Linked DNA regions of Mus musculus. The protein of the gene in region 2 interacts with the protein of the main gene of each other region in a pairwise test. Links are inferred from orthologs where the notes say so. Each region holds a gene or a part of one and is shown on either strand. Other genes may lie near its edges.

Region 1 (5,726 bases), on a different chromosome or scaffold from region 2:
ACAGGCCCGAAGTCCCCTGGTCTTGGCCACGGTGCAGAGCCGGCCTGTGGCCTTGAGGCCCATGGTGCCCACAACCGTGTCTCTGACGTACTGCCTGTAAAGGGGGAAGGGTGCACACACATTTTCTAATGTTCTCTCAGCTGGGGGGTGGTGTAGCCAGGCTCAACCCATGGGCTACTGAGCAGGACAAACAACCGAGGGATAGACAGACAGACTACTCAGTCTGAAAGTGCCTGGCAAGCAGACTCCGGGCTCTGTGTTTGAGTCATCCATGGAAAACGAAGAGCATGGTGGAGCAGGATTGTCGCCCCAGAGCTTGGGAGGCTGAGCTGGGGACCCCAGGAGTTCACTGGCCACTCAGCTAAACCAAAGAGGTACAGGTTCTGAGAGCAAGTCTGCCTCAAAACACAAGCAGAGGGGGCTGAGCCAGTGTCAGCCGCTGGCATCCACACAAGGGAGGGTGCGGGAGGGAGGAGGCTAAGGGAAACATGATGGCTCGCACCTGTGAGCTCAGCACGCAGGAAGCTGAGGCAGGAGGATGCCAAATTTCAGGATAACCTGGGCAACTTTAATGAAGTCCTGTCTGAATAAAGAACCCCTAAGAGGGAGTCAGGGGCCAAAGCTCAGGAGGCACAGTCCTGCTCAACACCCCGAGGCTCTGGTGTGCAAGCCATGTTGACACCCAGCCCAGAGCCATAGCAAAGGCAGGGCAGGGAGAACCCCTCATTGCCAAGGGCATGACCAGCTTCTCCCTTGGGGGGCTGTGAAGAAAGGGTTTGCCCCATTTGTCTACGAGCCTTTGTTGGTCTGTTTTCATCTGACTGTCTCTGGCCTTCTCTAGGCCATGCTAGGACCCTGAGCTGGCTTAGGGGAGGAGCAGGGTCTTGTGTTACACGGGCAACACTCACGTCTTACACTTGGGACATTCCTCTACAAACATGTTTCCGTGCAGCTCTGCCAGCTTGTCCCTGCAGAAGAAGATGCCAGTAAGGACCCTTCCCAGATCCTGGGGCTTGGACCAGCTGCTCAGTCTGCCTCCTCCTCCAGAAAGCCTTCCTAGGGGGCTCACTCACAAGGGGCGTCCACTTCTCTTTCCTGGAGGATGTCCCAGCCTGTCCCATTCTGAGGAACTGTTGCATGCATAGCTGTCTGACGGTGTCTTCACAAACTCACAAATACCTCCTCCCCACTACAAAAAACCTGTTGGCTAGCCGCGGCACACCCCTTTAATCCCTCCATTGGGAGGCAGAGGCAAGTGGATCTCTGTGAGCCTGATCTACAGGGCAAGTCCCAGGGTAGCCAAGACATGGAGAAATTCTGTCATGTACTCGCCCTCTGCCGCAACAGTCAGTTGGCCCTAAAGCCCCTGCCAACCTCCCCACCCCACCCCAGTGAGGGGTGGAACCCTGCCTACATCCCCCCAATTTGACCAAGTACTGCCCGGCTTTGGGCTCCGAGCCTTCCCCCTCTTTGCATCCCTAATAAATGCCCCTGAGCTAGGGCACCCTGGTCCAATAAGGAGGAAGAGATGCAATTGAGCCCCAGCCCCCCGGCCGACTCATCGGACCTGGGGAAGCCCGAGCGCACGTGCAGCCCGTCTACGTTCTGGCTGACCAGGAAGCTGAGGAAGCCCATGCGTTCTAGCTGAACCAGGGCCATGTGGGTCTTCGAGGGCCGAGCATTCTCGAAGGTGGTGTCAAACTTGGGGGCCAGGCCGCGTTCCTCCATGGTCCACACGCCATGGGGGCCTCTGAGGATAGCAAGCAGAGGAGGACAGGCACAGAGGTCAAACATTCATTTTCCAGGCTGTGGGCTCTTCCTGTTAATGCTGAAGTCAGCCCATGCTGGCCCCAGCCCCGTTCTTAGGGTGGTTCTGTATCCTGTGGTGGAGACAATGACTGCCGGGTAGGCAAGAATTCTAAAGAGCATGGGACGTCTTCATGAAAGAGGCGGAGGGGCTGAGGGTCTGGGGGTAAACAAAGGCAGGGGAGCTAGTGGAGCTGGGGCTGAGTACTGGTTAAGACCGGCTGCGGGTTCCCAGAATGCTTTACAGTGGTCATAGGCTGCCACCGAAGGTTATGGGTGAGCTAGTCACTCCACAACATTGAGTCATTCTGACCCTAGAAAACCCAGTGGCTGGCCGAGCTGCATGAATACATTTCCCAGCATGCCTTGCAGCTACTACATTATGTGGGCATGCTCTGATCCTTGGGCAAGTGGAGTTTTTGCTGGGCCTTTCAGAGACATAGGAAAACTGAAAGGTCCTTCTGCCACCTCACCTTAGTCCCTAGAGGTGTATCAGCAAGAGCCCTGCCTCAGTTTCCCCTCATTGTTCACCGACCTGAAGTCGGGGATGCCAGAGGCGGTGCTGATGCCGGCGCCCGTGTGGAAAACCACGCTGGAGGACTGCCACATTAGCCGGGCCAGCTCCCACACCTTGCGTTCCAGCTCCTCTGGTGGGTCGAAGATCTGTAGGGTCAGAGGGCAGGAGGAGGCAACACGTGACCTCCCAAGTGGCAGGCCTCCTGTGGGTCAATGCTCTGTCTGCCCCTTCTCAACATCCCTCAGTTCCAGCCACACTCTTAACACATCGCTGTGTCCTACCCCAGGGCCTTTGCACATGCCGAGCCCTCTTCCCAGAGTGCTGTTCCTGCAGGCAGCCACTCCTTTGTCCTGGTCTGGTTGTGGCCCACGTGACCTCCCCACTGACGTCATCCCCCATCCTGGACTTTAGATAACCCACCTCTCTCCCCTAAATCAAGATGCAGCTCTACTTGTCTAGGGGCTCCGTTAACATGAGGCAGGCAGGGCATGGTGTCGCAGGCCTTTAACACCAGTACTCGGGAGGCAGAGGCAGGAAGATTCCTGTGAGTTCGGGGCCAGCCTGGGCTACAAAGAGAGAACCCTCCACCCTACTACACCCCTTCAGAAACAACAAAGACTGACAGCCCCACACTCAGGATCCATCTGGCCCAGATTCAGGGAGGAGTACAGAGTGGGGTACAGGGATGCCCCCAGGAAAGGGTGCCAGCTTCCGGCCCTGCAGATCTTCCCACAGCTCCAGGTTTTCCCTGACAATTAAGACGTCCACTCCCTGACCTGACGATTTGGTCTCGTTCCCATTAGCCCCTCACTCCTTCCCTGACCCAGGTTCCTCCGTGTCACCCAGCCTGAGCAGTGGGTGTCACTTCCCGCCCCCTCCTTCCAGGGAAGTCCCTCCCATTGTCTAGACTCTATGTTTCATGCTGTTCCCACAATGCCCCGCTTCGCCCGGCCGCTCCCCGTCTGGGGTCATTCGGTGACTCGAACACTGCAGCTCTCACCTCGGGCAGCCCGCACTTGCCCTTATCCGCGTAAGGCGACAACCCTGCTGCATAATTCACCGACATCGTCGCCGGCGCTGCCGCACGGGAACAATAAAGTTTCCCTTGTTGAGGCCGCTTCCGCCGGAAGTGGTGAAGGGACGGTCGGGAAAGAGTAGCCGCCTTCCCTAGATACGTGCCTGAGGGTGGGGTGGGTACGTGGAGGTGAAAAACAGCATTCTTTCCAGAGCGCATGCGCCCTCCTGATGCAGCAAGCTTAGTCTTCAGTGCTGGCCGAGACTACCTCTCTGACTTAGTGGATTCCCCAGTCCTGGGATCCGCGACCAGAGCCAGAAAAGTGATGAGGCCACTCACAGGAGTCGAGGCAGGGGGATTGCGAGTCCCAGACCAACTCCCTGTTTCAAAAGAGACAACATCAGCAAAACCCAGAAATGAAACCAAACAAAGCAAAACAAAAATCCACAGTTCTCAGTGTGTAGAGCCCTGCCCGGAGTGCTTATAGCACTGGCAGGAGGGGACAGAAAGTTCGAAGCCACGCTAGGCTACATGATACCCTAACCTTTGTGACTGTCATCCAGGGTCTGCCTGACTCTGGCTACAGGAGAGAATGAATGGAAAACTGGGGTTCTTGGGCAGAGGAAAGACCTCTGGGCCCCCTGCCAACATTTCCTGGGTTAGTTTCTGGAGTGCACCTCCCGGAATATCACAGAGCATAGGGTTAGGTCCACAGAACTGGGCGAGTTCCACGTGTTACCCAGAGGTGCCCAGAGATGCAAGGAGAGAGGTGAAGAGCCCTGCTTCCGTGGCCATCTAGAGATGGGAGGCACTATCTGACCATTCTGCCTGTTGGTAATCAACAGACACAGGAGCCATGTGATGGGTCAATGGCAGCATATAACAACCGAAGCCTCCTGATCCCCGTGGAGACCCCAAGAAAGGCTTCGAGGAGGCAGGAGCACACAAGGAGGTGGGAGAGGCCGTCCTTGGGGCTGCCCATCTGAGCAAGCTGGCTAACAGCAGCTTGTCTCCTCCCTTGGCTCATCCGTCCCCCGCTCCCCCACCCCAACCTGATCGGGTGTCACCTCTACTCTGCTGCTGGTGGCTCGCAGCTGGAGCGGGTAACCAGAGAGGCTGCTTGGACGCTGGGTTCCGGTCTGGAGTCGCCTGAGGTAGGGGGATGTGGGTGAGGGAGGCCAGGGAAGTCTGGGTGCTGGTGAGGGGTGCTACCTGCAACAGTATGAACACACGCATCTGCACACTTGTGACAGGTGCACACATCCCACGCGGGAGCCAAGGCCCAGGCCCAGTGCGCAGCGTCACCTGTGCTGTGTCACCTCTTCAGAAGGCAAACCCTTAAATCCACAGGCCTTCCCTGCCACCTTGCCGTGGCGATTTCCTTCAGACTGGTAGCATGTGGACAACTCTTTTGGGTGTTTTGTCACCCACCCTTGGTGGTAGGTGTGGGGTGAAAGTGAACCTGATTAGTAGAGGAGGTGGGATCAGTGAATGGATGGATGGATGGGTAGATGGGTGGGTGGATGGGTGAGTGGGTAGATGGGTGGGTGGATGGGTGGGTGGATGGGTGAGTGGGTAGGTGGGTGGGTGGATGGGTGAGTGGGTAGATGGGTGGGTGGATGGGTGGGTGGGTAGATGGGTGGGTGGATGGATGGATGGATGGGTGGGTGGATGGGTAGATGGATGGGTGGGTGGAACTGCCCTAAATAGTGACAGTTTTGACCAGACTTTCTTGCAAAACACTGACTTTCCAGTGTGTCTCCCCCTGTAGCTCCATTACATATGAACCCAGGTTAGAGGTACAGGAGGAGACCCAGCTTGGGAGAACTTGGAAGCTCCGTTTGGGGAGGTAGATAGTTCTGTGTGGGAGAGAGGCGATTTTGTGAATAGAAATTTCACAGAGAAGAGTGTTTGTGTGGTGGGGAGTTTATGGCATCAATGATTGCACAAACTCCAGGTTGCAGCCTGTGTGAGCTGCTGAACTAGTGCTGCTGGTTGTGATGCACGCTCAGCCCCACTTCAGGGGACTGCCTGGACAAGGAGGAATTATCTCTGTTTACAGTTGAGGACAGTTCCTTCAGAGGGTGCAAGTAGCCTGAACTTGGACACACAGCAGATTTGCCCAGGCTGTGTTGTGAGGACAGTGTGGCTGACCACCCCAGCATCCTGTCCCTCACCCGACCCACGCCTTGTCCAGAAACAAGACGAGAGCCCCTAGCAGGTGTGATGAAGACCCTCCGGGCACGATTCAAGAAAACAGAGGTGAGTCTTCAGGCTTGGAGGACTGCTCAGTCCTCCCTGCTGTGGCTCAGAACCCACCAGTCCTTTAGGCTCCACCTGATCCCCTATCCGCTGTTCCCCCAGCTGCTGCAGCAGGTCAGCTACTCC
Region 2 (4,719 bases):
TCCAAAGAGAATGAATTATCAAGATAGTTTTAAGGATTATTTAATGAGTACCTTGAAAGTCTTAGTTTACATATGTTATTGATTGTAATAAGAGGGGTTTTAGAGGTTACTCCTGTAACCTCATCACTCTGGAGAATGAGGCAGGGGGATTATAAATTCACAGTTAAGCTAGGCTGCATGTAAAAGTGTTATTTCATCAAAGCAAAACATGGAACTGGGTGCTTGTGTTCTCTGTTCAAAGCTAGTGGGCACCTACCATTAAAAGAATTACTGTACCTTATTTATGAATATTTTGGGGGACAGCCGGGTTTTCTGGGAAATCACATGAGAAGCCATTTTTGCTTTCTGCAGAACGAGTCCCTGGAGCGCCAGATGCGTGAGATGGAAGAGAATTTTGCCCTTGAAGCTGCTAACTACCAGGACACTATTGGCCGCCTGCAGGATGAGATCCAAAACATGAAGGAAGAGATGGCTCGTCACCTTCGTGAATACCAAGATCTGCTCAATGTTAAGATGGCCCTGGACATTGAGATCGCCACCTACAGGAAGCTGCTGGAAGGCGAGGAGAGCAGGTATAGAAGGCAAACGTGCATGTGTGAACTAACTCACAGTCGTCTTTCTAGGAAGATCTCATTTAACCCAGACACCATATATATGAGGAACTTAACGTTGCAGAGAGTAACTTGCTGTGGTCAGAGATAATTAATAGCAGAGTAGATTTGAACTCACAGCCATGCAAAAGACAATACGTTCTCCCTCTATAAATTCTTCTGGTTCATGTTTCTGTGTGGAAAAAAATATCTTCCGAAATTTAAATGGGCCAATGAGACCAAGCATGGGTAGAAAGTTCTTAAACAAGTCACTAACAGCAATAGATTTTCATTTGGTGGAAACAAGAACTGCGAAAACTTGTTCCTGCTTCTTGAAGTGCTTTGTTCTCAAGTTTTTTGTGTGTTTCTTTCTCTTTTTATAGGATTTCTCTGCCTCTGCCAACCTTTTCTTCCCTGAACCTGAGAGGTAAGTACATTGTTTCATCTTATGGGAAAAAAATGTCACAAGGCTGTCACCAGTCACTCTGCCTGTAGCATAGCTTCCACATTTTTAAAAATATTTTTTATTACGTATTTTCCTCAATTACATTTCCAATGCTATCCCAAAAGTCCCCCATACCCTCCCCCCCACTCCTCTACCCACCCACTCCCACAGTAATTCTTGATTGAACTGTGCTTTTCCAAAGAAAATTCAATGAAACATGATTTCTCTTTTATAAATACATGTGTATAGCCATTTTATTTTCTGAATATTTCTTTTGGGCTTCTGAGGTTCTGATAGAGTTAAGTCACTTTCTCGCTTCCGTTTCTTCTCTCGAAACCTTCCATGTACTGCCCCCTGACATATATGGCTGTCTTTTCAGTTCATGGCTTCCTTTTGTTTAAATGCTGTTACACACACACACACACACACACACACACACACACACACACACACTGTGTATTCTTACATACATGAGTACAATGGCTCATTCTGTATAATATTACTTACATGTATGCTTTCAGGCTCGACCATCTGGTCCCTTTTTTATTATAGTTCTCATGACTGCTGGAGACCAAACCCAGGGCAATCAGCTAAGCTAAACCCACAGAGCTCCACCCCTAGCCTGATACCCTCAGTTTCAAACTCGAGTACATTCTTGCCTTTGCTACCCTGTTAAGTATAGACTCAGTCTACTTCCTGCTAATGGCAAAGTCAGTGAACTACTACCTCAGCCTGAATGAAGGAGCCCTTAGGTGCTGTGTACTCAAATGGATAGTGCTATGTAGGATTATGTATGAGTAGCACTTTAAATAACCATAAAAATAAAGTCATGATGCTTTGGGTAAAATGGTAATGTTTTAAACTTTTTCTTATGTTACTGCCTTTTTTTTTTTTTTTTTTTTTTAATTCAGAAACTAACCTGGAGTCACTTCCTCTGGTTGACACCCACTCAAAAAGAACACTCCTGATTAAGACGGTTGAGACCAGAGATGGACAGGTCAGTATTTTTTAGTTAAAATATGGGAAAGTTTAAAAGAAGGAATGATGAATAAACTATACAACCACTTTAAATATGTGTTGGTCCCCTTTAAGTCAGCAAGCAGATATATCAGATATGGCAGCTAACTTAAGGAGTCCCCGTGGATACTGGATGAATAGCCCCCAATTCCACCAATGCAAGAACCAACAGTCTATTTGGTCTTGATTAGGACAGTAAACTTCCTGCACACCATAGTCTGTGCACTAAACAGGAGTAAAACACCCTTAAGGCATCTCTTACATTGGCTGCATTAAAGTGTGTCACTTAATGACATCCGTGATATCAGGGATAGTTTGACATTGGACATACAGTTCTCTCTCAGTGATTGTCACCTGCTTATATAGTACGAGGACCCATATGTGGTCAATCACTTTCTTGTTGCCACTCCATGCCAGGGAAGACATAGTTACAATGAGTTATAATTATAAAAGCTCAGCCTTGCATGAGGATATAAAATACATTTGCCATACCTCTACATATGCCTTAGTTGCTTTTAAGCTTTGTTTGGAATTGCAAAGGCCAACTTCCTAAACACAGTTTCAAAGTATTCTTTTGTCACACCTTTCCACTGGATACTTGTATTGTCTGCAGGAAGAGGCCACCCTGCCTATGCTTCTCCTTAGGGCCTCGTTCTGCAGAGTCAGCATAAACTCCCAGTCTGCTCAACCAATTCTGTCTGATTAGGGCCATATCTCCTTACCATGAGTTGATTTTTGTTTCTTTTTTGAGCAGGTGATCAATGAGACTTCTCAGCATCACGATGACCTTGAATAAAAATTGCACACACTTGGTGCAACAGTGCAGTACCAGCAAGAAGGAAAAAAAAATCGTATCTTAGGAAAACAGCTTTCAAGTGCCTTTACTGCAGTTTTTCAGGAGCGCAAGATAGATTTGGAATAGAAAGAAGCTCAGCACTTAACAACTGACACCCCAAAAGACGTAGAAAAGGTTTACAAAATAATCTAGTTTACGAAGAAATCTTGTGCTAGAATACTTTTTAAAGTATTTTTGAATACCATTAAAACTGCTTTTTTCCAGTAAATATCTGACCAACTTGTTACTGCTTCAATAAATCTTCAAAAATACTGTTTTGGTGTGTTATTTTATAATATCTAAACAACTCTCTTTACTTCTATTGGTTAATTTGCAAAAATCATGTTTAGATTTTTGAGTTCAATTTATTTATGCTTGCGATATAGTTTTCACGTTAGCCTTTTAAGAGGGAGATCACTTCTTTTTCAATTGTTTATTGTTTTAATTTGATGTGGGTATATGACTTAGAGGCATGCTTACACACACAGGCCCTGGGTTCAACCTTTAGTAAATGAATACATGCATCTGCACATGCTTATGCACACACATGTGCACACCCACACAAAACTGATATAAAACTATGTGGTATTGGGGAAATGGCTCACTTGATAAAATGCTGCTTGTAAAATTATGAGGATTTGAGTTTGGACTCCTGAAATTCATGCAAAAAGAACATGGTGTTCACCTGCAATTCCAGCCCTGGGGAAGAAAAGAAACCAGGACCCCTGGGACTTACTGACCAGCCTGTTTAGACCATTTTCGAACTCTAGGAACAGTGAGAGACCCCCTTTTTTTATTAGATAATTTCTTTATTTACATTTAAAATGTTATCCCGTTTTTATTTACATTTAAATGTTAACCCGTTCCGGGTTTTCTCTCCAAAACTTCCGAACACCTCTCATTCCCCCTGCTCCCCAATCCACCCACCCCCACTTCCTGGCCCTGGCATTCCCCTACACTGGGGTATATAACTTTCACAGGACCAAGGGCCTCTCCTCCCAGTGATGACCAACTAGGCTATCCTCTGCTACATATGCAGCTAGAGCCGTGTGTCCCACCATGTGTTTTCTTTGGTTGATGGTTTAGACCCTGGGAGCTCTGGGGTTACTGGTTAGTTCATATTGTTGTTCCTCCTAGGGAGCTGCAAACCCCTTCAGTTCCTTGGGTACTTTCTCTAGCTCCTTCATTGGGGACCTTGTGCTCAGTCCAATGGATGGCTGTGAGCATCCACTTCTGTACTTGTGAGGCACTGGCAAAGACTCTCAGGAGACAACTATATCAGGCTCCTGTCAGCAAGAACTTGTTGGCATCCACAATAGTGTCTGGGTTTGGTGGTTGTGTATGGGATGAATCACCAGGTGGGGCAGTTTTTGGATGTTCCTTCCTTCATTTTCTGCTCCACACTTTGTCTCTGTAACTCTTGAGTTTTTGATCTTAGCCATTCTCACTGGTGTGAGCTAGAATCTCAGGGTTGTTTTGATTGGCATTTCCCTGATGACTAAGGATGTTGAACATTTTTTAGATGCTTCTCAGCCATTCAATATTCCTCAGTTGAGAATTCTTTGTAAAGCTCTTTACCCCATTTTTAAGTAGGGTTATTTGGTTCTCTGGAGTCTAACTTCTTGAGTTCTTTGTATATATTGGATATTAGCCCTCTATCGGATTTAGGATTGGTAAAGATCTTTTTCCAATCTTTTAGTTGCCTTTTTGTCTTATTGACAATGTCCTTTGCCTTACAGAATCTTTGCAATTTTATGAGGTCTCATTTGTCGACCCTTGATCTTACAGCACAAGCCATTGCTGTTCTGTTCAGGAATTTTTCCCCGGTGCCC

The links. The genes of interacting proteins can lie anywhere in the genome.
Region 1: the proteins of Vim (region 2) and Sirt6 interact in a two-hybrid assay, tested with the Homo sapiens proteins (2 studies listed by BioGRID and IntAct). The link is inferred for Mus musculus from reciprocal best matches to the Homo sapiens genes VIM and SIRT6.

The regions. Positions count from the first base shown.
Region 1 is NC_000076.6:81,624,149-81,629,874, forward strand, and holds the start of Sirt6 (NAD-dependent protein deacetylase sirtuin-6), read right to left. Parts: upstream 3,390-5,726; coding exon 3,324-3,389; intron 3,175-3,323; exon of another isoform or gene 2,744-3,174; intron 2,470-2,743; coding exon 2,342-2,469; exon of another isoform or gene 2,280-2,341; intron 1,751-2,279; coding exon 1,568-1,750; intron 969-1,567; coding exon 909-968; intron 95-908; coding exon 1-94. UniProt on the Homo sapiens protein: NAD-dependent protein deacetylase, deacylase and mono-ADP-ribosyltransferase that plays an essential role in DNA damage repair, telomere maintenance, metabolic homeostasis, inflammation, tumorigenesis and aging.
Region 2 is NC_000068.7:13,579,667-13,584,385, forward strand, and holds the end of Vim (vimentin), read left to right. Parts: intron 1-351; coding exon 352-572; intron 573-973; coding exon 974-1,017; intron 1,018-1,946; coding exon 1,947-2,032; intron 2,033-2,806; coding exon 2,807-2,848; 3' UTR 2,849-3,160; downstream 3,161-4,719. UniProt on the Homo sapiens protein: Vimentins are class-III intermediate filaments found in various non-epithelial cells, especially mesenchymal cells. Vimentin is attached to the nucleus, endoplasmic reticulum, and mitochondria, either laterally or terminally.